4 linked regions of the Drosophila melanogaster genome follow. The protein of the gene in region 3 purifies or fractionates together with the protein of the main gene of each other region. This does not show direct contact. Each region holds a gene or a part of one and is shown on either strand. Other genes may lie near its edges.

Region 1 (6,794 bases), on a different chromosome or scaffold from region 3:
CTTCGACGTGGCGCTGCGCTTCCTGCACGAGTGCCCGTGGGAGCGCCTGGAGGAGATGCGCAAGCGCATCCCGAACATTCCCTTCCAGATGCTGTTGCGCGGAGCCAACGCCGTCGGCTACACCAGCTATCCGGACAACGTGGTCTACAAGTTCTGTGAGCTGGCTGTGCAGACCGGCATGGACATCTTCAGGGTGTTCGACTCGCTCAACTACCTGCCCAACCTGATCCTCGGCATGGAAGCCGCTGGAAAGGCGGGCGGCGTGGTGGAGGCTGCCATCTCCTATACCGGAGACGTCAGCGATCCCAAGCGCACCAAGTATGATCTGAAATACTACACTAACCTTGCCGATGAGCTGGTCAAGGCGGGCACCCACGTGCTCTGCATAAAGGATATGGCTGGTCTGCTCAAGCCCGAATCCGCCAGGTGAGTCTGAAGGGGTTTTTAATTTTTTTCTGTTGTGTACTATTTTGTTTCCATCCCCTGAAAGGCTTCTGATCACAGCCATTCGTGACAAGCACCCCGACATCCCAATCCATATCCACACCCACGACACCTCTGGAGCGGGAGTGGCCTCCATGCTGGCATGCGCCAATGCCGGAGCCGATGTGGTGGACGTGGCCGTCGACTCCATGAGCGGCATGACTTCCCAGCCGAGCATGGGTGCCGTAGTGGCCTCCCTGCAAGGCACTCCGCTGGACACGAACTTGGATCTGCGCACGGTGTCGGAGTACTCCGCCTACTGGGAGCAGACCCGCACCCTGTACGCTCCCTTCGAGTGCACCACAACAATGCGGTCGGGCAACGCCGATGTCTACCTCAACGAGATTCCCGGCGGCCAGTACACCAACCTGCAGTTCCAGGCCTTCTCGCTGGGTCTGGGCGACTTCTTCGAGGACGTTAAGAAGGCCTACCGTGAGGCCAACCTGTTGTTGGGTGACATTATCAAGGTGACGCCCTCGTCGAAGGTGGTAGGTGATCTTGCCCAGTTCATGGTGCAGAATGACCTGACCGCCGATCAAGTGCTGGAGCGGGCCGAGGAGCTGTCGTTCCCCAAGTCGGTGGTGGAGTACTTGCAGGGCTCTATTGGCATTCCGCACGGCGGATTCCCCGAGCCGCTGCGTTCGCGAGTGCTCAAGGACATGCCCCGCATCGAGGGACGTCCGGGAGCCGAACTGAAGGACTTGGACTTTGACAAGCTGAAGAAGGAACTGCAGGAGTCTCACACCTGCGTCACCAACCGTGATGTCATGTCAGCTGCCCTCTACCCGCAGGTGACGAATGATTTCCTAAACTTCCGCGAAAAGTACGGACCCGTCGACAAGCTGGACACTCGCATCTTCCTCACGGGTCCCAAGGTGGGCGAGGAGTTCGACGTACCTCTGGAGCGCGGTAAGACGCTGAGCGTGAAAGCTCTGGCTGTGTCCGCCGATCTCAAGCCCAACGGTATCCGCGAGGTATTCTTTGAGTTGAATGGCCAGCTGCGCGCGGTCCACATCCTGGACAAGGAAGCCGTTAAGGTAGGTTCAGTCAGCAGTCATCGGTGATCTTTAGGCAATGGAATCATTTGCTTGCTCTTCTTCCGCAGGAGATCCATGTCCATCCCAAAGCGAACAAGTCGAACAAGAGCGAGGTGGGCGCCCCCATGCCCGGAACTGTCATCGATATCCGCGTGAAGGTTGGCGACAAAGTGGAGAAGGGTCAGCCTCTGGTCGTGCTCTCGGCCATGAAGATGGAGATGGTGGTGCAGTCGCCATTGGCGGGCGTTGTCAAGAAGCTGGAAATTGCCAACGGAACGAAGCTGGAGGGCGAGGACCTCATTATGATTATCGAATAGACAGTGCCACCGGATCAAAATGTCCATTGTCTAAGCTGCCACCGCACACACCCAATGTAAAATTAAGTGAAAACAGTGATAATCTTAGGGACTCTGTCAGTTCGATTGATCATAAAACTGTCCAAAGTCGCCTGTGTCTATTTTTATATGAATCAAAATCATTCATGTTTCCGTGTTTCCAGGATCAATCGACCATGAGTAACTGGTCAAATTTTTTAGCTGTCCCTGCCAAAATATATCGGATTGCATAAGTTCGTGCCCAAGTATATTTGTAAATTTGTCGTAGGGCTTTTCCCGCAAGTCATTTGAATCAAATTTGTACGATTATGGAATTTTTAATTCGCAAACACCTGTGTCGAGATTCCCCCTCTAGTAAATACGTAAGTGGTTATTAATGTTATATTAACTATTGTGTAATAAACGTTATACAAAATAAAAAGTAACGCCCTGGTTTTTGTAGTGTGAAATTGGTGATTAAACATCTCGAAACAAATATGTAATGTATGGTTATCTACTTTATTTTTTTCCTAAAATTAATTAAACTGAATTAAGTTAACAATCATGAATGAAACGGCTCCGAAGCTAAAGCCTACATGCACTTGACAATGAACTCTAGGAAAGCCAGATCCTTGTTCAGCTCGGTGACCCGCTTAAAGTGTCTCTGGACGTACGGAGTGAGTACCTCGACCATGTTGCCATTGTAGTAGAACCTCGCCTTGGGATCCAGAAGAGCATCTCCGATCAAGTACTTGAGGATCATGTTGCCCGCCTGCGAATGGCGCGAGTTGGTGGTCCATGCCTTGACGTGCTGCAGCAGCGCAACCCGCTGGTCAACGTTCAACTGGTCAACCAATTGCCGGAGACCGGGCTCATCTCGCTTGCGGACAAAGTGGTTGATAATATCGAAACTGGCTTTGGGCTTGTCCAGGTTCAGAGCCAACACGAAGGCCTTGTGAAGCTGCTTCTGGGCGTGCAGAAGGGAATGTAGGGTCTGCTCCTGCTCCAATGCGGCCTGCCGCTTGTCCAGCGCTTCGTTTCGCGTCACCTGAGTGACATCACCGAAGCGAATCAGCTTGGAGTCCGCGCCGCCGGTGTAAAAGAACCGATTGCTCCTGGCGGATACGGCCAGCGCCCAAACCCTATCGTTGTGCTCGTCCAGGGACTGCAGACATGTGTTGGTCTTGATATTCCACAGCTTAAGAAGGCCATCCGAAGCAGCGGAGATAATGAACTTGCCGTGATCCAGGAACTCGGCTCTCAGTATGGTGCACTCCTGATCGAAACGTTTTATGCACGAAAAATTGCTGATGGACCAGATGCGGAGAGTACAGTCCGACGATGAGGTGAGCACGATCTGATCCACCGGAGAGAAGCGCACACTCCACACACCGCGGGTGTGTCCCCGCAACACTCCTTGCAGCGTGTTGGACTCCGCCAGCCACACCTTAGCCGTCTTGTCTTGCGACGCGGTAGCAATAAGCTTGTTATTCGGAGCATATGCAACGCAGTTCACCTCCTTGTCGTGGGAAAGCGCTGCGTAGCGCAGGTTGAAAGAGTACGAGTTGCGATCCTCCTTACTTCTGACGAGCTGCCATACCTTCATGCTGCCATCTTGGCTCACGGATGCAAAGCCAGTAGCTCCGTTGTGCGTCATGGCCACGCAACCGATAGTGGACGTGTGGCAGTTGGCCTGTTGAGTCAGAGCCTCAAGCGAGCAATCTTTGTCGTGCTGAAGCCTCCAAAGCCGAACGCTGCAGTCCTTTCCCACCGAAATCAGCAGATTTTGGGATGCAGCAAGGGACATTACCGTATCCGAGTGACCCACGATCAGCTTGCAATTCATGTCGTGTTCCGTGTCGTACAGCTTGAAGTGCTTGCTGTTGGTGGCAACGGCCAGGTAGCGATCGTGTTCGCCCATAAAGCACATGTCTAGGATCTCGTCGTTGTAACCCACCAAGTGTTTAATGGGTTCCAGGGTTTCAACGTCGTAGACCAAAATATTCTGCTCTGTAGTGACCAGGGCCAGCTGTTTTAGCTCGCTGCAGTGCAGCAGTCTACTAATTTGGAAATCAGATTGAGAAAGAATATCCCTGATCTTCCAAGATTTAGGGTCGACCTGTTGCAGCTTGCCCGATCCGCTCGCCACGATTATCAGTTGTCCCTCGTCTGCGTACACGACTCCCTCAAGCTCATCGTACAAGGGAAGAACCTTCAACTGCTTGCTTTCCAACTGCTCCTGCAATTGCCACACGATCATAACCTTGTCCCGGCTTACAGTCACGATTTCATTGCAGTCGGACGCGTTGCTCTTAAAGCTCAAGCCGGTGACTTGCGACAGGTGACCTCGCATCTTGTGCACAAGTGTCTTCGTCTCGTAGTTCCAGGCATAGACAGTGTTATCCGAACCTCCGGCGTAGATCTCTTTGCGCAGCACATTGGGATGAAAGACGAGGAGCCAAGCGGGACCAGGGAAATCCTTGAGGGCACCCAGACAGCTGTTGTTCGAGTAGTCCCACAGCCTCAGTGTGGCATCTGCACCGCCGCTGGTGCAGATAAGCCTGCCGCAGGGACTAAACTCAACTCGGATGACTGGTCCCTTGTGCTGCGCCTTCCACAGCTTCACCAGCTTCCCAGTGTCCAGCTGCCACAGCCTAAGCAGGCCACTTCGATGGGCAGTAACCAGATGCTCCTGTGACAGCCCGAAGCAAGTAATCGTATCCTCCTCCACATCGATATTGTCCAGCTCCGCCGGCCTCTTGTTATCCGCCGACGGGGAAGACAAGCCGTAGCTATTTAGGATTTGGGAGGTCTGCACATCCACCTGGTTTACAGCTGAGCCATTGAGGCAGTAAAGATGATGGCCATTCGGGCTCCAGGCGATGTCGCCGCCGGCGTAGAAGTTCGTGTAGCGGGCCTCCGCCGCATAGCTGGATTTTAAAATTGTTGTAGTCTTGCAATCATCAGGTAATTATTAAGTTTATGTTACCTTTTCTCGCTGATACCCGCCAGCATGATTTTCGTTGTTTATAAATACAAAAACCGCGTGCGCCGCGGATCAGAACATGAACGGAACTAGTTCGAAATGTTACTTTACAGAGCATGTAAGGGGATATTCGAAATGTATAAGTAGAAAAGAAAAGAATGATATTAACTTCAACTGTGCTAAATAAATAAAGTACCATGAATTGGTGATTTATTTTTAATCATTCGAATTTTATCTGAAAAAATCGCGATTGGTATACGATTGGTTTTTATTGACGATAGTCGTTCCGAAACTATCGAACCTCCTTGACCGATAGGCCCCTTTGTTTTGTCCACCACTAGCCAAGTAAAAGCCGTCAAATCATCGTCGCATTCGACCCAAGGAATTAAACTAATTTTTGCGTTTGAATTGTTTAAATTTTCACAAAGTCTTCGCTATGAGTACTATTGGCACTGGAGTAAGTGGTCAGCGAACTACATATCTGCAGATCCCTAACGTCACCCTCTCGCTTCCAGTACGACTTGTCGGCCTCGCAGTTTTCGCCTGATGGCCGCGTTTTCCAGATCGACTACGCCTCAAAGGCGGTGGAGAAGAGCGGCACCGTAATCGGGATTCGGGGCAAGGACGCCGTGGTGCTGGCCGTGGAGAAGATCATCACCAGTAAACTGTACGAACCAGACGCCGGCGGACGCATCTTCACCATCGAAAAGAACATCGGAATGGCGGTGGCCGGCTTGGTGGCCGATGGAAACTTTGTGGCTGACATTGCGCGTCAGGAGGCAGCCAACTACAGACAGCAATTTGAGCAGGCTATCCCGCTTAAACACCTGTGCCACCGAGTCGCCGGCTACGTTCACGCCTACACTCTGTACAGTGCCGTCCGCCCCTTCGGACTTTCCATCATTCTCGCCTCCTGGGACGAAGTAGAGGGGCCACAGCTCTACAAGATCGAGCCGTCCGGCTCCTCCTTCGGTTACTTCGCCTGCGCCAGCGGCAAGGCCAAGCAGCTGGCCAAGACTGAGATGGAGAAGCTCAAGATGGATATGAGGACCGACGAATTGGTGGAGAGCGCTGGTGAAATGTACGTTTACAGCAAAAAAAAGGGACTGTTTCAAAAATCGGGCGGGCTTTATCCTAGTTCCGAGTGGAAACTTACTTGCTCTGACAATAGGAAGCATTTTTGGGACATCTATTGCACTTAGAATCTAGGTTTTTATTCATAATTAACATATCTATCCTATGTCTTAGCATCTACAAAGTCCATGACGAGTTGAAGGACAAGGACTTCCGCTTCGAAATGGGTTTGGTGGGCAGGGTAACCGGTGGCCTACATCTCATAAATCCCTCAGAACTGACGGAGAAGGCGAGGAAAGCCGGCGATGCGGCCAACAAGGACGAAGACAGCGACAATGAGACGCACTAGTTCGTTTGTGTGCCAGTGAATCTAATTCTGGGCCTCATACATAATGTTAATTTTATATTTCCCTAAAGCGCAAAATGAATAAACAAAATCGGGTGAAATTTAAGGTTTTTATATTTTTATACTCTCATTCTTTAATAGTTATCGTTCGATATAAATATATTGGCTCGCTGGTTATCGGATCTGGTTCCTTTTGAATGTGCCTGCAGCTATTAAACCTCGATTGCTACAAAGAAAAACCTTATCGCTCACAGCTGATGCATTTCGCGCCATTTGTTGTACTTTATTTTGGTTTTAACGACGCACGACTGGAATTTCAGTCTATTGTTAATAACTACAATGACTACCTTAATAGAACAGTTAATTACGAAAATGGGCCTAAGGGAGGAGCCAAACGTGCTAGAGTAAGCGATAAATAAATAGTTTTAAAGGTTTACCCAGTAAGATCGAATCCTTTCAGGAAAACCACCGAACTAGTACGCCTCCTGGAACTGCGCTCCACGAATGTCCCTCTGCAGATCAACGAGTACGGAAAGATAGTGCTGTGTGCGGAT
Region 2 (5,845 bases), on a different chromosome or scaffold from region 3:
CGAATGTAGTTGATGTGAAAAGTATGGCCAGTGGAGTCGGCAATTATACGCGAATCTTGGACGGGGCTTCCCCAGGGTCCTTGACCTGGTTTTCCACCCAGTTTGTGCCCCTTTATGATGACAGGGGTTTGCTTTTTTTCGCACAAACGCACGCATTTCTATTGAGCAGCGGCCATTTTGGCAAACCCCCGACAGTAAAAAGTGGGTTTTGCATGGGATTCGTTGTCAGGCCAGTGGATGCTGGACAGGATTAGGTGATAGCTGGACAAGCATTTGCCCCCAAAGTTTCGAGAGCATGTGCTGGATGCCGCAAAAAATCAATCAGCAGACATTTGCAAAATGCCGCCGCCGACGGCGGAGGATGATGATGACGGTGCTGACTCCGCCGCCTGCAGCTCGATTGCACAATTTCGCGGAATTTGGACGCTGATTAGGTGGGGTCTATCTTGGGACCAGCCCGTGAAGCACTATACACACCTCACTATTGCAGTTTCTTTCACTTTTTTCTATCACAACACTTGCGAAAATGATTCTCCCTGTGTCGCCTGCTGCCCTCTCGCTCGCACTCTCGCGCACACGGCCTTCGCAGTGGATGCACGGCTGTTCCGCTGGCGTCCTTGGTGGGTGGCAGTGTCGGCGCTCCAAACTCCTCGGCGGCTCACGGTCGCGATCGTTGTTATTTCGCTAAATTACAGTTGGCAAATTACGAGGCGACGCAGAGCCGACTTTATCTTTGTTAGAAACTCGATAATTTGTATGTTTGTAGCCAGCTATCGGTCCGGGTCCGTCTCTAGGTGCTCGCGCTGTCCGCTCATCCTTAGCGAACTATCGATGTTCGGCTTCTGGCAACCGTTTTTTGCCTTTTCTAGCACTGTGGCAACTCGGAAGCGGATACCATAAAAATAATATTCAAGTATTGAAATCTAACTATTTCGTAAATGAAATAAAAAACAAGAATATTTACACCATGTATAATACACTTTGAATACCTCTCTGCTTCACCCACTTCGATAATTTAAGTGTAACACCCCAGATGTAAAATCTTTCAATATTTACTTTAAAGTTTAAACTAGTTTTGTATTTATAAAAAGTTTACAAGTTTTGGGATTACTTCGTCTCCGCTTCTTCCGCTAGCGCCTTGCGAGATTTGAATACGCGCACCGTGTTGTCGACACCACCAGATACAATGTACTTGGGATTGGACCAGTCGATGTCCAGGACCTTTTCACCGTGACCCAGAAGATCGTACAGTGGGGCCTTGGGACTCCTGCAGTCCCACAGCTTGTTCTGGTTGTCATAAGCGCCGGAGACAAATAGGAACTCCTCCGTGGTGGACCACATGACGGTCTGCACCCAGGCATTGTGTCCCAGATAGGTATTCCTTACCACTGATCCCTCTGAAAGATCCGAATTATATTGGTTAGGTGGAAGTTCCATTGTTGATATTGGAGTATTAGATCTTACGGTTTGTCCTAGGATCATAGAGCCGCAGATTCTTGTCCGCCGAAGCAGTCAGTATCAGCCGATTCAGCTTTGAGTAGCTCGCATCGAATATGGACTTGTTGGTGGATATTTCGGTCTTGATGCCCTCAAGACTCAGATCCCACACCTTGAGTGTGTGATCCCAGCTGCCAGTTAGCAGAGTGGTAGCATCCATCCACTGCACGGCTGATACGCTCTCACGATGTCCCTGCAGCGTAATTTTGGGGGTCTGAAAGGAATTGTAAAGCTGATTACAAGTCTAATTATAAATGGCAAGACTACTCACTCTCACACCGCTCTCTTTCATCCGCTTTGAGCTGCCCTCGACTGCATCGTCCAGCTCTGCTGACCACACCTTCAACATCGTGTCCCAAGAGCCCGTGGCAAATCTCAGACCATCCGGACTCACGCTGACACTGTCGACGCCTCGCTCGTGGCCCTTGCACACGGAGACACATTCCACCGAGTTGGAGCCCACGTTCCACTGCCACAGCATGGCGGTCTGATCCTGCGATGTGGACACAAAACGTCCCGTCTCCTCGTCCAGCGATATCCAGTCCACCGCCTTGATGGGCGCCGTGTGACCAGAAATAGTGAGAATGTGCTTGCCTTTGTTGGTCCACAAATTCAGGGTGTTGTCGTAGCACCCGGAGAGGATCCACTTTCCTCTAGCCTTCACCGCGGACACCCAGTCGTCGTGCAGCAGGCAATCCTGTGGCTCTGGCGCCGGGAACCGCTCCACATACTCGATCTCGATGGCGTCCTCGAAACTGATGGCTTTCTCGCGCAGGTGATCGCACAGCCGGCCACGCAGGTACTCATCGAACACCAGGAAGTCGAAGTCCGTGTCGGAAGAGCCATCTTTTTGACGCAACAGTGCGTTCACGAATGTGTTTAGCTCCACGGTGGTGACGGTGCCATCGATGGCATAGGGCACATCAGGCACGGCATAGCTGAAATAGGGTATCTTGATTAAAATCTTCTACTGATAGAGATTCTAGATGGACACTCACTGCTCCTGCTTGGTCTTCAGGTGCACCTGCACCTGCCCCTCGCCGTTATCCACATCCATCTCCTGGCCCACGTGCGTTTCTTTTTGGCTGGATTGGGATTGGGGTGTTCCCGCGTGTGTTTGCTACGGTTATGACTTAACTCCTGCAGGTGGTACAAGGTGTTGACCACTAAACTAGAGGTTCTTCCTTCGGGAGATCGTTGTGTAAAATTAAATTGAAAAGAAGCGTGTTTTTAAACGAACGATGGTAAATGCAACAAATACATGCAAAAACACTAAAAAACGCCGAAGCGCATGCCGGAATAAGAGTTATCGCATTGCTATCGCTGTGCTCTTATCGAAATGCCTTATCGTCTTGTTATCACCCGTTACTACTAAGCGGAGTTTTTAAATTCAAATTTTTTGGTGCGTTAAAACTATGCATAATTATAATAGCTTGCTTAAGTGTAATTTGCCGATTACTTTAACAAATAAAAAGATATTAATAGAGTGTATGGTATTTCTAATCACTTTGATTTTGTTTCTCTAAAATATTACTCATCAAATTCGAAAAACCGCTGATTGCATAACCACTGCTTTGTCGTTTCTCCTTTTTTTTATTACAAAAAAATCTTACAGAGATACGAGCCAATTCGCAATACTGATAATTAAATATTTTTTGCAAGCAAATCAGGCGCAGATGATTTGCTGTAATTTAGCCACTAACTGCTTCTCTTCCTTTTGATCGTCTTACGCAAAATGGAAAAATAAGAAACCAAAAAATGCACAGCCGCGGCGGCAATTTGTAAATGACTCTTCAATCTTCAAAGACTGGTAATTGTTAATATTTTACGTTCAGGCTATTAATATGAACCAGATAGCACCTGAAAGACCACTTTGCGGCCGAGTGTTCACTGGAAGGTTAAATGCCACTTGACATTTCTGAAGTGGCGCTTAACCTTCGCATCAAAATTGGACAAATGCCCAAGAAAATAAAAAATTTCCAATAAAAAATGTATTCACCTTAATGGGTCGATGGGGATATTAAGCTGGGAAGTAATAACACTTTTTTTCGGTACTACTACTTTGTGCCACCATTTTGGCTTTACAAAAAACCAGAAACGAAGCGAAATGAAAGAGTTAAAGCTTTCCAGATTTTCGGGGCTTCCAGCGGCGCAGCTCAGCTTATAAAACGGGCATTGCGCCTGCGCAGCCGAAACATTACAACAAACGACGCGCGCAAGGTAAGACCATAACCAAATCCAGTCCGCATCGAGCGCCACTGAATCCGTGCATCTCTTGCAGTTGAATCCCCTCGAGAAAACCCACAAAATGAAAGTGTTCGCGCTGTGTTCGATGCTCGCCCTGCTCCTGGCTGGTGCCCAATCCCTGCCCCAGAATCGCGAGGGTGCCGCCTACACGAACGAGGCGATCCGGCAGGCGCAGCAGACGCTTCTCATCCCCAAGGATGCCCAGATCCAGAACGTGCAGGAGGGCATCGAGCTGGGCGCGTACGAGCAGATACCCGGCAACCAGCGCATCAATCTCTTCGAGATCCTCGGCGACCAGGTGCCCTCCGAGGTGATAAACAACCTGCAGTCCCAGGTCGACCAGATCGGTCGCAACTAAGTCGTAGGACCACTTCCTTGGTTAGCTCATTGCATTTCGTCCTCATTGTTAAGTTTCTCACTAATAAAACGAAAACATTACAAGTATTTAATCGCAGCGTTTATTTACCACCCAAAACAATTGGAAAAAAAAATCCGAAAAAAATATTAAAAGCGAAAGTGATCCTCCCCGAAAACCAGTTGGTTCCTCTGCAAACGAACTCTCGAATCGAAACGAGTGATTTATTGGTTTGATTTGTGGCTTTTTCCTAACGATCTTCGCCGACTTTCTCCTCGCTGATCCCGCTGCGCATACGAATTAACAATAAAAGTCGGCACATTGCTATCGCATGGCATGGTATCCTATCCTCAACCTTGTTACGTAACCCGGGGATGGGAATGGCGATGGAGTCGCTGGTAACCCGAGTGGTTGCCCCGCCGGCAACTTTTGTGCTGCGGTCGTGATGCAACAGTTGTCGTCGTGATTGTTTTCCTCGGACTTTTATTTATTTTTTTTTGTATTTTGTATTTTGTTGCTTTTTGCTGGGCTTCGGTTTGTTTATTTAATTTCTGGTAATTGCCGCCACATGCACTTGCATGTGTAATGAGTTGTACGTGGAGGGGGCGTGGCATGCCCGCAGGTACAGAGGGGCTGCTTGCATAACATCTGGGTGGGTCCGATGATCGTAGGGTATTTTATAGGGCCCTGATTTTTGCATCATTTGTGGTAATAAATATTCCCAAATATGATATGAACCACTTAAAACTTTTATCTTGTGTGTTTAGAATTACCTCATTTTTATTTCGTACTTCATACATTGTTAAATGAGCTTCAATCTAAATTTACGCTAGTTAAAGTATTTTCATAATATATTTTAATTATCTCAAAAATTCTGTGTGGTATGTGTGTGAGTGATAGTGTGCACGATCATCGCCTAAATAAATTATGTTCATATAGGTAATTAATTATTTATTATACTCGTACGTACTAACTAAAGAATGACTGCGTTTTCATTTTGACACTTTTCTCCGCTCGTCAGCTTTGAAATTCACTCGAGCTTTTGATTTTCCTTTCTAGGAAAATCCAACGATAATTATCAAGACTCAATGTCAAAGTAAAATTAGTTTAAATTGTATATAAATTATGGTTAAAGTAGGAGTAAATTGCTTTAAATTAAAACTTTGCCATATTCAGTCTAAACTTAAAAGCTTTTCAATTCAAAGAGGACTACACAGTTGGCCATTGCATTAAACCATTTCTCAAAATCATTTGCATTCGTTATGAAATAAATTACAAATTAAATAAAATCATGATGGGATAAAACAAGTTAAATAATTTCTCCTTCGTTTATGTTGCGACTTATTCGATGATTTTCAAATGTGGGGGACAATGGTTGATTTTGTTTTCAGTGCACTTAGCTCAGTACGTATAAATTAGAAGTATAACTAAGCAATATGGATTGCCAGATAATGGAAACATTTCGTTATTGCATTTGGGGAGCCCAGCTTTGCTAATCTGCTAATCATACATTAGTTAGTTAATGATTACGTTCGTAAAGTTGATAAATTCAAAGGTCGTTCTATGCAGTCTATGGAAATGATAATGGAATCTTCTTCCCCTTTCTTCTGGCTACTTAAACCTAACAATCTGCCGCCATTCTGCTCACTTGAATGGTTGGATATTCGCTGCTTTGCAGGCCACTAGGCCCCATGGTGTCCGTATGTACAATAAAAGGGTTAAATATGTCAAGTAGAGCCACTCCAG
Region 3 (5,418 bases):
GTCAATCTTTTATTTTGTAATGAAACTATTAAATTAAAATTGACAGTCATAATACTTTCAAAGGTACATTTTTTTTAATCAATTAAAAGGTAAATTGGGCAAATTATTTTGCTTTATTAAAATGTAAAGAAATAGTTGCAATAAAAAAACTAAATTCATAATCGTTTTCAAAGTCACTGAAAATTTTACTGCTGAACTCACGCAGATTAAATAATCATATCTGGCAACACTGCAAACTGGCTGAGTAGTCTGGCAACGCAGACATATTGGTGGTAAAAATGTTGAAGAACATCTACGTAACGCCGTTAAATTTGCTTAAATCGGCCACCAGCCTGCAGCAGCAAGTGCGGGTAAGTGCTCTCCTGGATTAGGGAAGCGATCCCCATTCACCACCAATTTGCTTCCAGACCACGTTCGTCCTGAAGCGCAAATATGACCCGCCGCTGCACAAAACCAACGAGAAACCCCGCCGGATGAGGGCCAAGAACTTCATCTACGAGCTCGTGGACGACACGCTGGTCAAAAAGCGGCCCAACATCGAGGTGGTGCTAAAGACCTTCGTCGAGGGCGTTGGCGACAAGGGCGACGTGGTGTCAATGAAGCCGCACTTTGTCTACAATAAGCTCCTGCTGCCGGGTTTGGCCGCGTACAATACGCCGGAGAATGTGGCCAAGTACGCCAAGACAGAGGCTGAAAAATCGACTGTTAAACACAGCTCCCCCTACGCCCAGCGCACGGTCAACATGCTGGAGACCATTGTGCTGGCGGTGGTCATGAACAAGGATGAGCCATGGGTGCTCGAGCCCTGGCACATCAAGGCCTCGCTGCGCAAGACTGGGTTCTATTGTCGCGAGGAGTGCATTACCCTGCCCAAGGAGCGCATCGAGGGACCCGACCTGAAGAAGGAGAACAAGGACTTCTACTGCACTGTGACCATAAACAAGCTGGAACAGGCGCGACTCAAGTGTCGTCTGCACCACTGGAGCACAGATCCCAGCGAACGGCTGCCTTACGTACTCGAGCACTGGAAACTCCAGTCTGAGCCCCTGCTGGATGTATGTTCACCCGAAAAAACCCCTTAGAGACCCCATACCAAATACATGCGATTGTTACAAAACTGTTGATTTATGAACAGCCGGAAAACAGAGTTTATTTAACATTTTTATCAAGTTGTACGACGTGGATACTTACTTAGGATTACAAGTCTATATGATGTTAATATAGTGCACTAATGCACAGCTTTCAGTTCCACTTCGAAGACGAGAGTGGAGTTCGGTCCGATCTTCGGTGGAGCTCCCCGTGCGCCGTACGCCATGTGCGGGGGGCAGGTAATGACTCGCTTGCCGCCCACCTTCATGCCGGCGACTCCCACGTCCCAGCCCTTGATGACCTCTCCGCCGCCCAGGGCGAACTTAAATGGTTTTCCCTTCAGGAGGCTGTCGAAGGTCTTGTTGTTCGACTGCAGGCGGCCGATGTAGTAAACAGATACGCGTTTGCCCTGCTTGGCTTCTTCGCCTTTGCCGACGACCTGATCCACAATCTTCACGCCTCCGGTGATAGTACGTGGATCCTTAGAAGCTGGTTGCTGCTTGGCTGGCTCCTTGGCCTTGGGTTGTTCCTTCTTGGCCTCTGGCTTCTCCTTCTTCTTTTGCTGCTGCTTGGCCTCCTCCTTCTTGGCCACACCGTTCTGCTCCTTGCCAGATTTCTTGGCGCTAGCGCCAGGAGAGAGCTTGGCAACCTTGGCCTTTGGCTGTTCCTCTTCAGCTTCGGAGTCGTCGCTGTCCTGTTCATCCTCCTCGCCACTCTCCTCGTTATCCTCATCAACATCGTCGTCATCTTCCTCCTCACCATTTTCGAGGAAGGACTCGTATTCCTCGATTATCTGGCTATCGTCATCAGTATCCTCCTCGTCCTCCTCGCCGCTCTCATTCTCATCCTCATCATCTTCAGACTTTTTGCTATTCTTGATCGCCTTGGAGTTCAGCAAATTCTCGATCGTCATTTGATCGTCATCCTCATCATCTTCGGAATCAATGTCGTGCAAGTAGCCCAACAGAGAAACGCTGGCGTCGCCTGTGAAACGAACGAAAGCGTCAGAAACGGATAAACATGCGAACATAGTGGACATAAAAGGTCTTACCGGCGGTGTAGAACATGATGCGATCGCCCTTGCTGAAGTTCAGGTCGAGCGCAACCTGTGGAATGGCCTTGGTCACGGTGGCCACGATGTACTCCTGCTTCTCGGCAGCGAGGTACAACTTGGCCTCCTGGCCCTTGTCGAGTGCCACGCCCGAGATGTGGAACGACTTGATGATCGTCTGCGAGTACTTGCGCTCAGGCTTCATGTTCAAACCTGGAAGAGGACACAGTTGGTCAAAAACATGGTTTACTTTACATCGGCGTGCAAATGGCGCCGCTCCACGCTGCCGGTAAATCGAGCGGCAAGCACGTGGTGGCAATAAAAGCGCGGTCGGAGCACCCAAGAGCTCGTTGGCACAACCAGCCCGGAGGGGGCAAGTGAGATCAGTTCGACTTACCCCAAAACATCGACATCTTGCAGAATTGTAGGCTACTCTTAACGGAAAATGCAATATAAAATAGGAGAAATTGAGTTCGCTAAAACGAAACGGAACCACAGACGCTAGTGATGTGATGTGCCGCCAATGCGCCGTATTTATCGATTATCTTTCTCTTATCGAAATTAGCGGTGCGCAGCCATATAAGCATAAGCACATCGTAGACGCCAACCGCCAGCAAAAATGTGCTAATTATGGCCACGTGTCCACGCACCCAGGCGAATGGTAAAAGTCGTGTTGTATTTGTGGCGAAAAAAATTTGTGTCGATTGGATTGGGGCCCCGCCTTGTTAGAATTTAACCATTTCGCGCTGCTGGAGCATGATAAGCAGCCCAGCATGACGGAGAAGATTACGCTAGCCGACGCGCTGTCCAACGTGGAGGTGTTGGACGAGCTATCCCTGCCGGACGAGCAGCCCTGCATCGAGGCGCAGCCCTGCTCGATTATCTACAAGGCAAACTTCGATACGAATTTCGAGGATCGCAATGGATTTGTCACGGGTATCGCCAAGTACATCGAGGAGGCCACCACCCATGCCAACTTGGTGAGTTAGCGTATCCGGCTTATCGCATTAGCATTACTCACAGCTCTGAACCCCTTCTCTCCGCCCGCAGAATGTGCTCCTGGACGAGGGGCAGAAACACGCAGTAATGCTCTACACCTGGCGCTGCTGCTCGCGCGCCATTCCGCAGCCCAAGTCCAATGAGCAGCCGAATCGCGTGGAGATCTACGAGAAGACGGTCGAGGTGCTAGCCCCGGAGGTGAACAAGCTGCTCAACTTCATGTACTTCCAACGCAAGGCCATCGAGGCCTTCTCCGGCGAGGTGAAGCGCTTGTGCCACGCCGAGAAGCGCAAGGACTTCGTGTCCGAGGCGTACCTATTGACGCTAGGCAAGTTTATCAACATGTTTGCCGTGCTGGACGAGCTGAAGAACATGAAGTCCAGCGTGAAGAACGATTACTCCACCTACAGGCGAGCTGCGCAGTTCCTCAAAGTGATGTCGGACTCGCACACCTTGCAGGAGTCGCAGAATCTGTCCATGTTCCTGGCCACGCAGAACAAGATTCGCGACACGGTCAAGGACACGCTGGAGAAGATCGTGGGCTACGAGGATCTGCTCTCAGATGTGGTCAACATTTGCGTGCATATGTTCGAGACAAAGATGTACTTGACCCCTGAGGAGAAGCACATGCTGGTAAAAGTTATGGGCTTTGGCCTGTTCCTTATGGACAGCGATGCGTGCAATATCAACAAACTTGATCAAAAGAAGAAGATACGGCTGGATCGCATCGATCGCATCTTTAAGAACCTGGAAGTGGTGCCCCTCTTCGGCGACATGCAGATTGCTCCCTTCAACTACATAAAGCGCAGCAAGCACTTCGATTCCAGCAAGTGGCCGCTGTCCAGCTCAAACGCCATCAGCCCACAGGCGGATCTAATGGTGCATTTGCCGCAGATACGCGAGGATCACGTCAAGTACATTTCGGAGCTGGCGCGATACACAAACGAGGTGACCACCACCGTCAAGGAGAATCCCTCTGATGCCGAGAACCGGATTACGGCCGACCTGGCTCTGCGCGGCCTTCAATTGCTGTCCGAGTGGACCAGTGTGGTCACCGAGTTGTACTCCTGGAAGCTCCTGCATCCGACTGATCATCACCAGAACAAGGAGTGCCCCGTGGAGGCTGAGGAGTACGAGCGGGCCACCCGCTACAATTACACCTCGGAAGAGAAGTTCGCGCTGATCGAGGTCATCGCCATGATAAAGGGACTGCAGGTGCTAATGGCGCGCATTGAAACCGTATTGTGCGAGGCTATCCGGCGTAACATCTATTCCGAGCTGCAGGACTTCGTGCAGCTTTCGCTTCGTGAACCGCTGCGAAAGGCCGTAAAAAATAAGAAGGATCTTATCCGGAGCATCATCATGTCGGTGCGAGAGACATCGGCGGACTGGCAAAAGGGCTATGAGCCCACCGACGATCCAGTGGCCAAGGGCAAGAAGGATCCCGACGGCGGCTTCCGCATCCAGGTGCCTCGCCTCAATGTGGGACCTTCCTCCACTCAGCTATACATGGTGCGCACCATGCTGGAGTCTCTGATTGCCGACAAAAGCGGCGGCAAGCGCACTTTGCGCAAGGACATCGACGGAAACTGTTTGCTGCAGATCGACACGTTCCACAAGACATCGTTCTACTGGAGCTACTTGCTCAACTTCAGCGACACGCTTCAGAAGTGCTGCGATCTCTCGCAGCTGTGGTATCGCGAGTTCTACTTGGAGATGACCATGGGTCGTAAGGTTAACAAGTGCTTGGTGCGGCATCAGCACAACGAGGAGTGCAAGGATCTGATCACCATGGAGAAGCGCATTCAGTTTCCGATTGAAATGTCCATGCCCTGGATCCTAACCGATCACATTCTGCAAACGAAGGAGCCCTCAATGATGGAGTAAGTAAATGGCGAATAGGTGAAATGATCTGAACTAACTAAGTGCCTCACACAGATTTGTCTTGTATCCCCTGGACTTGTACAACGACTCGGCGTACTACGCACTCACTGTCTTCCGAAAGCAGTTCCTGTACGACGAAGTGGAGGCCGAAGTCAATCTGTGCTTCGATCAGTTTGTCTACAAGCTGAGCGAGCAGATCTTTGCCCATTACAAGCAATTGGCGGGCAGCATCTTCTTGGACAAGCGATTCCGTTTGGAGTGCGAGGTACTCGGTTTCAACTTCCAGTCGTATCCCCGCAATAATCGTTATGAGACCTTGTTAAAACAACGACATGTCCAACTTTTGGGTAAGCAAAACACCCATTGCATCATGATCTTTTGGTTAATGGTTTCTC
Region 4 (5,486 bases), on a different chromosome or scaffold from region 3:
CGAGAGTTCATCTACATTTAGTGCTTTAGCCAGCAGGAATTTGGAATTGTTTAAAGAAATGTATTATTACGGAAACTATAGTTAAAAAAATATTATGTTTTGCTAAGCAAACACTATTATTCATATGCAGTAATGGACAAGCCTTACGGCTATAATTAGAGAAGATTATATTTATAGATGACAAGATATTCCCATCACCACCACTGGGTGGCCCACCCCCTTTGGAATCTGGGCAGCCCCGCTTTATGCCGAGCACGTGGAGAGGGCGAGTCGCGTATCTTTCGCCCGTCGTATAAACGATTAGCGGCTCTCCCAGATTTGGACAGACTCTACCGGATCAGCATTCGTAATAGAGGAGCTCTAAAATTATACACTCTAGATAAGAGCTACGTGTTTGGAGGGTTCTCGCATCGATAAGGCGGCAAAAGTGCTGCTGGCGGATTTTCGACAAGGTTAACGATTTCGAAATGTAACGGTCGCGGATGATCGAAGTGTAATTCCCATTTGGCCAACGCAGTGATGTAATCGATTCCATTGTTATCTTCTTGAATTGTGTGCAAAACCGATTCACTGGCGGCCTTGAAGAGACTCGATTCTGTGCTGTCATGGCGACAGTTCTAAAATTTAATCAATTCCCACACAGATGCGTTGGCTTTTGTTCTTTTCACTCGCTTTTCCTGCCCCCTGCCCACTAGTTTTTTTTTCGATGTCGCATGCAGTGGAGCATCACGGAATCCCAATTAGGTTACTTACAGCACCACTCCGAAGAGAAATGGGCCCACCGGGTAGACGTCGCTGCTACCCTTCTTGCGGATGTCGTTCATCAGAACCACTCCGGACAGAAATTGCAGGGTAGTTATGGTGCCGGCTACCTTGGCGATTAGTTCGCTGTGTGGCGCCAAGAGATCCCCCAGTGCCTCCATGATTTCAATGACTCTCAGTTGATGCCTTTCAAACGGGTTATGTGGGAACGGGAGGGGGGCCGAGTGCCGCGCGAGTATAAACAAATGAACGAAAACAAAAACTAACGACCGACTGGCGGCTGCCGTAACAACAAACGAACAAATACTGAGCACCAACGGTGGGGCTGGCAACCTTTTATAATCGAGAATCCCCTAGAAATGGACGCGTCTCTCCGATTTTCCCCAAACGTTATCGCCCGCGAGGGCTTATCGGATACGAATTGAATTTCAAATTTCCGCGAAACGTTGCTGCATGGCAAAGCAAATGAGTTTTCTCTCTAGAGCAACAGGAGAGTATTCCTTAGAACTTATCAACATCTTCTTTCTTCTAGTATCACTGAATTAAAGCCAAACAATAGTTTAAACTAAGCAAATTCACTGATAACTTCGGTTTGACTTGACCAAACTGAAAGTCACTTGAGAACAATGATAGAAAGTGAGAAACTCAATTGAGATTAGGCTTCTTAATATATACATACATAGTCTCCTTACAAAAATCAATTTTATTCAAACTTATCCAACTACAGTCGTTAGCAATCATCCTCACACCTCCTCCTTCAGCACATGCTTCTTTTTCTCGCTGACGTAGGGCACCTTCTTGCTCTTCTTGGTGTGCTTGCGCACATTGGCCTCCTTGACCTGCTCCTTCTCCTTGACCGTGCGCATCTTCTTCTGTGCATTGAGCACGTGACGCGGCACCTGGCGATGGCGCGCGATGCGCTTGATCTGCGGATGAGCGGCATACTTTTGCTTCAGCGCCTCCTGGTAATTGAAATTGACGCGCTCACGTGGACGGATGACGCCCAGCTTTTCGGAGGCATTCGCCTTCCACATGCGGACGTTCATTTCGTCGGAGCCGGAGAAAACGTATCGATTATCGAGGGACCAGGCCACGCAGACCACATGCTGCATGCGTTTTGTGTGGTAAATATCCCGCGAGTGACTGTGGTGGGCATTGTAGATCCGAATGGTCTTGTCGTAGCTGGCCGAGACGAATTCCTTGCCAGTGGGCGAGTAGTCAACATCGGTGACAGCGGAAACATGGTCAAAGTGAACCTTCAGCGGCGTTTGCAGCTTGCGAGTGTCAAAGGTATAAAGGCTGTAAGAAATAAAGATTTTAGCAACACATCCTCTTCGTATGGCCGTTTTACTCACTTGCAATCCTCGTTGGCCACTGTGAAGTTGAACGCCTCCATGGGATTCCACGCGAGCTTGTTGCTCTTCATGGTTAGGACGACCTTCCTTAGTGGCTGCGCCTCTCTCTGATCGTACAGGATAATGCTGCGATCGCTGGCACAGCACGCCAGGATGCTTGTTTCCACGGGGTTATAGGATATGGTGTGAAGGGTATCGACGCCCCACTTCAATGTCTTCAAAGGATCGTTGTGCCTTTCGTCCCAAATGGCGCATACCTCGCCACAGGTGGCGAACTTGTTATCCCTGCGATTGTGCGAGATGCCGTGCAGTCCAAATTTACTCAGTATAGTGTTCACCGGCACCTCATCCTCGCCGACTTCCGGAGCCTCTGCTTTCCAAACCTTGATGGTTTTATCATCTCCCACGGTGAAAATGCGACCTCCGTTCTGGGTGTAAGCAATGCCGCGAACGAAACCGTCGTGGGCCACAAAGTTCCGAGAGCTGATACGATTCGCCAAGTCCCAAATGCGCACTTCGCCGTCATAGGCGCCGGTGGCCAAGGTGGAAAGTTGCTTGGGATGCTTTCCGAAGCAGGAGACTCCATCGCGATGCCCGCTCAAATTGCAGACGAAGGGTTTGGCAAATACTCGATCCAACTTGGTGGCATTCAGGGCACGCACGTATTCCCTGGGACCCTCCAAAGGATGCAGCGAAGGATCGTAGTTCCTGGGCACTGAAAGTGGCATTCTTATAATACTTTGGTCTTTCTTCGTATATGAACTTACTTTTGTGCTGTTGCAGTTTGGTTTCTCGGACATAGTTATCCGGATTGCGACTAATCATTTTCACCTTCATCCTGATTGCATTTATTAAGCTTTTCTGCGGCGTAAAATAAAATTAATCGTGAGTTTCGAACATAAACAACATGTGCGTGCTACAGTGTTGCCATACAGAGCGGCTGTCAGCTGATTGTGTTGAGTAGTGGGTGTGGTAACACTAATGCAAAACCAATAGGGTAACACTGAAATTTGAAATTTTGGAGGGAATTCTTCTGAGTGTTGTATGATCAATCAAATGCAACACAGTTCACGTTCATTTTATGCAAATGCATAATACTAAAAAATTTCTTATATTTGATTAATTGTACATCAACCTAGTACTGATAGCAACCAAAAACGGCAGCAATGCAGATAAAACTGCCACCATCAAAGGTGAAGGTTATGTAGTCATCGGACAGCTCATCCCAAATGGCGCGAGCTCCGTAGAAACATCCGGCTCCGGTCTGCTGGTAAAGCATTACGTTCACAACGTGCTTGAATCTTGGAGAAGAGCCGCGTCCCTTCATCTTAATGTTTATGTCATCGGCGACTTCGCGGGTCCATTTAAGGGCTTCCGATTGATTATAGGTCTTGTTTGCCAGCTTCTCCTTGACCACCTGGGCTATCATCAAGCGAATGTACGGCAATGGGAACTTCTTGCCGAATGCTGGTCCCATGTTGTAGTAGTTATAGATGGTGACATCAGATGCCGGCTTATCCTCATTCCCAGGCTCCCATTCTTCATCCGAGTCACTGTGGGACATTACCTCGGATCGGCTGTCTGCGCTGACCGCGGACGCTCGAAAGGACTCCTTTGCAGTCGACAAGGTTTTGGGTCTTTGTGTCGACATTTTTGCGATATTTTTATCTGTGTTTCGTTCAAATTCCAGATAAACTTCGATTGCAATAAGTTAAGAGAAATAATCAGACAGAACAAATTTTTCATGGCCATCTAGTTTTCCAAAGAAAACACAGTGATTGGTAAATAATAAGTTCAATTTTCGCTTTTTAACCTTTTTTGCAATTATAAAAAAATCTATTGTTTTGTTAGTTTTTTATTTCGCATAAACATATTTTTGTTATTTTTTTTTACACTTTCCATTGTCTAAATGACCCAATTTTTTCTAGTTAAAATATTTCAAAGTTAACCTAACGTTAAGTAGTAACCAAAAGTGAAGATTTAACGAGCTGAATGCCTGTAACGTCGAATACGAGGATGTCGATTGGAGAGATTCTGAATGTAGGTGTCACTACTCTGCTCTTGACTTGAGCGTTCCCTGGCCTTCGGTGTGAGCAAGTCATCGACTGGATTCTGGTTCTGACACTTTTCCATTTCCTCCTTTTTGCGCTGCTGCTGCTGAAGCTCGTGGACTTTTCGCAGGCAGCAGCAGTTCCTGAGCGCATCCATAAAGCACTCTAGATTCCTGCGAAAGATCTCCAGATTCTCCGGAGAAATGGGCGACTTCTCCGCATGACAACACTCATCGATGACCACCTGGGCATGGAATATACACTCGCTAGCCTGACCGAGTGTATTCTTTAGATTGAAGATTTGCTGTTTCTTCTTCAACTGCATTTGAATATAGCGAGTGCACAGCATCTCGAAACGGCGCTGTTCACTCCGGTACTCATCGAATAGCTCGTCGTATTTGGAGTGCAGCTGCTCCGTTTTGCTTTGAAGTACCTTGAGAGCCTTTTCCCTCTTGGCTAACTGCCGACGACTTTGGCGATGGGACACGGAGAGCTCAACGTAACTGAAAATGCGCCAGAATACTTAGTGCCTACATATGTATACCCTTTTCTAATATTGTTGAAAACTTACCGCTGTTGCATCAGCAGTGGACTGATGGAGTCGTACAGCTCACCAATGGAGTTCACATGGGAGCCACTGGGGCCCCTCTTCTCCGGATCGCTCTCACTCGAACTGGAGCTATCGATTCCCCGGAGCAACTGCACCAGTCGCTCGTTTCGCTTCCTTTCCGTGTCCAGTGAAAACACCAGTTCCTGAACCCGTTCTGTCTGCCGATCGAGGGCCATTCGGAGCTTGAACTCCTGCTGCCGATCCTCGTGAATTGTGTGCTCCAGTTCATTCACTAGTCGCAGTATCTGTTGGACGGTCTGCTGGTAGGGATTGGGCTCCTGGTTTTTGTTCAGGCTGGCATCAGTTGAGGCCAGATGATTTTCGCCCAGTGATATGGGCTCGTCCTCTTCGTCCTCCGAGGGAAGTAAGAGACTGGAAACGGGATCCAAATTTGAATTATTTGAAGACGAGCTCGACGTGGAGCTAAGAGGGGCCAGGGGACGACCCAAGTCGCTCTTTCTCGTGACGGTTCCGAAGCCAAGACCGTTGCTCACACTCCTCAGAAGGGTGCTCAGGTTCATCCTTGGTCCTTTCCCACCTCGTGTCGCTGTCGTCGTCGATGTCTCCGTCTTGTCACCTGACTGTAAAAGTACTCAGGTGTGTGCTGCGCTGTGTGCTCGGCTTGTTTGTCACTAAATGACTGCCTACTTGTGCTCGGTACACTACAATAAATAAATATAAAAACAGATACTTTTAGATGCTTTTAAG

The links.
Region 1: the proteins of Fkbp39 (region 3) and CG1671 purify together in Drosophila melanogaster (affinity purification with mass spectrometry, with the first as the bait; one large-scale study listed by BioGRID). This does not show direct contact.
Region 2: the proteins of Fkbp39 (region 3) and CG6724 purify together in Drosophila melanogaster (affinity purification with mass spectrometry, with the first as the bait; one large-scale study listed by BioGRID). This does not show direct contact.
Region 4: the proteins of Fkbp39 (region 3) and CG7275 purify together in Drosophila melanogaster (affinity purification with mass spectrometry, with the first as the bait; one large-scale study listed by BioGRID). This does not show direct contact.

Annotation. Positions count from the first base shown.
Region 1 is NT_033778.4:9,846,180-9,852,973, reverse strand, and holds CG1671 (uncharacterized protein), read right to left. Parts: upstream 4,914-6,794; 5' UTR 4,850-4,913; coding exon 4,824-4,849; intron 4,765-4,823; coding exon 2,427-4,764; 3' UTR 2,332-2,426; downstream 1-2,331. Other genes in the region: PCB (pyruvate carboxylase), read left to right, coding at 1-426, 491-1,520, 1,589-1,837; Prosalpha7 (proteasome alpha7 subunit), read left to right, coding at 5,257-5,277, 5,336-5,901, 6,069-6,243; Orc6 (origin recognition complex subunit 6), read left to right, coding at 6,580-6,644, 6,701-6,794.
Region 2 is NT_033779.5:10,767,180-10,773,024, forward strand, and holds CG6724 (uncharacterized protein), read right to left. Parts: upstream 2,774-5,845; 5' UTR 2,555-2,773; coding exon 2,496-2,554; intron 2,436-2,495; coding exon 1,769-2,435; intron 1,712-1,768; coding exon 1,465-1,711; intron 1,398-1,464; coding exon 1,108-1,397; 3' UTR 1,055-1,107; downstream 1-1,054. Other genes in the region: CG17127 (uncharacterized protein), read left to right, coding at 3,806-4,102.
Region 3 is NT_033777.3:15,330,476-15,335,893, forward strand, and holds Fkbp39 (FK506-binding protein 39kD), read right to left. Parts: upstream 2,659-5,418; 5' UTR 2,554-2,658; coding exon 2,538-2,553; intron 2,354-2,537; coding exon 2,141-2,353; intron 2,074-2,140; coding exon 1,229-2,073; 3' UTR 1,109-1,228; downstream 1-1,108. Other genes in the region: mRpL9 (mitochondrial ribosomal protein L9), read left to right, coding at 279-350, 408-1,082; Cyfip (cytoplasmic FMR1 interacting protein), read left to right, coding at 2,914-3,120, 3,191-5,022, 5,078-5,370. UniProt on the Drosophila melanogaster protein: PPIases accelerate the folding of proteins. May function in a signal transduction cascade during early development.
Region 4 is NT_037436.4:15,496,528-15,502,013, reverse strand, and holds CG7275 (uncharacterized protein), read right to left. Parts: upstream 3,056-5,486; 5' UTR 2,955-3,055; coding exon 2,885-2,954; intron 2,833-2,884; coding exon 2,118-2,832; intron 2,062-2,117; coding exon 1,506-2,061; 3' UTR 1,453-1,505; downstream 1-1,452. Other genes in the region: CG7272 (uncharacterized protein), read right to left, coding at 754-923; CG7276 (uncharacterized protein), read right to left, coding at 3,253-3,768; CG13455 (uncharacterized protein), read right to left, coding at 4,098-4,671, 4,740-5,299.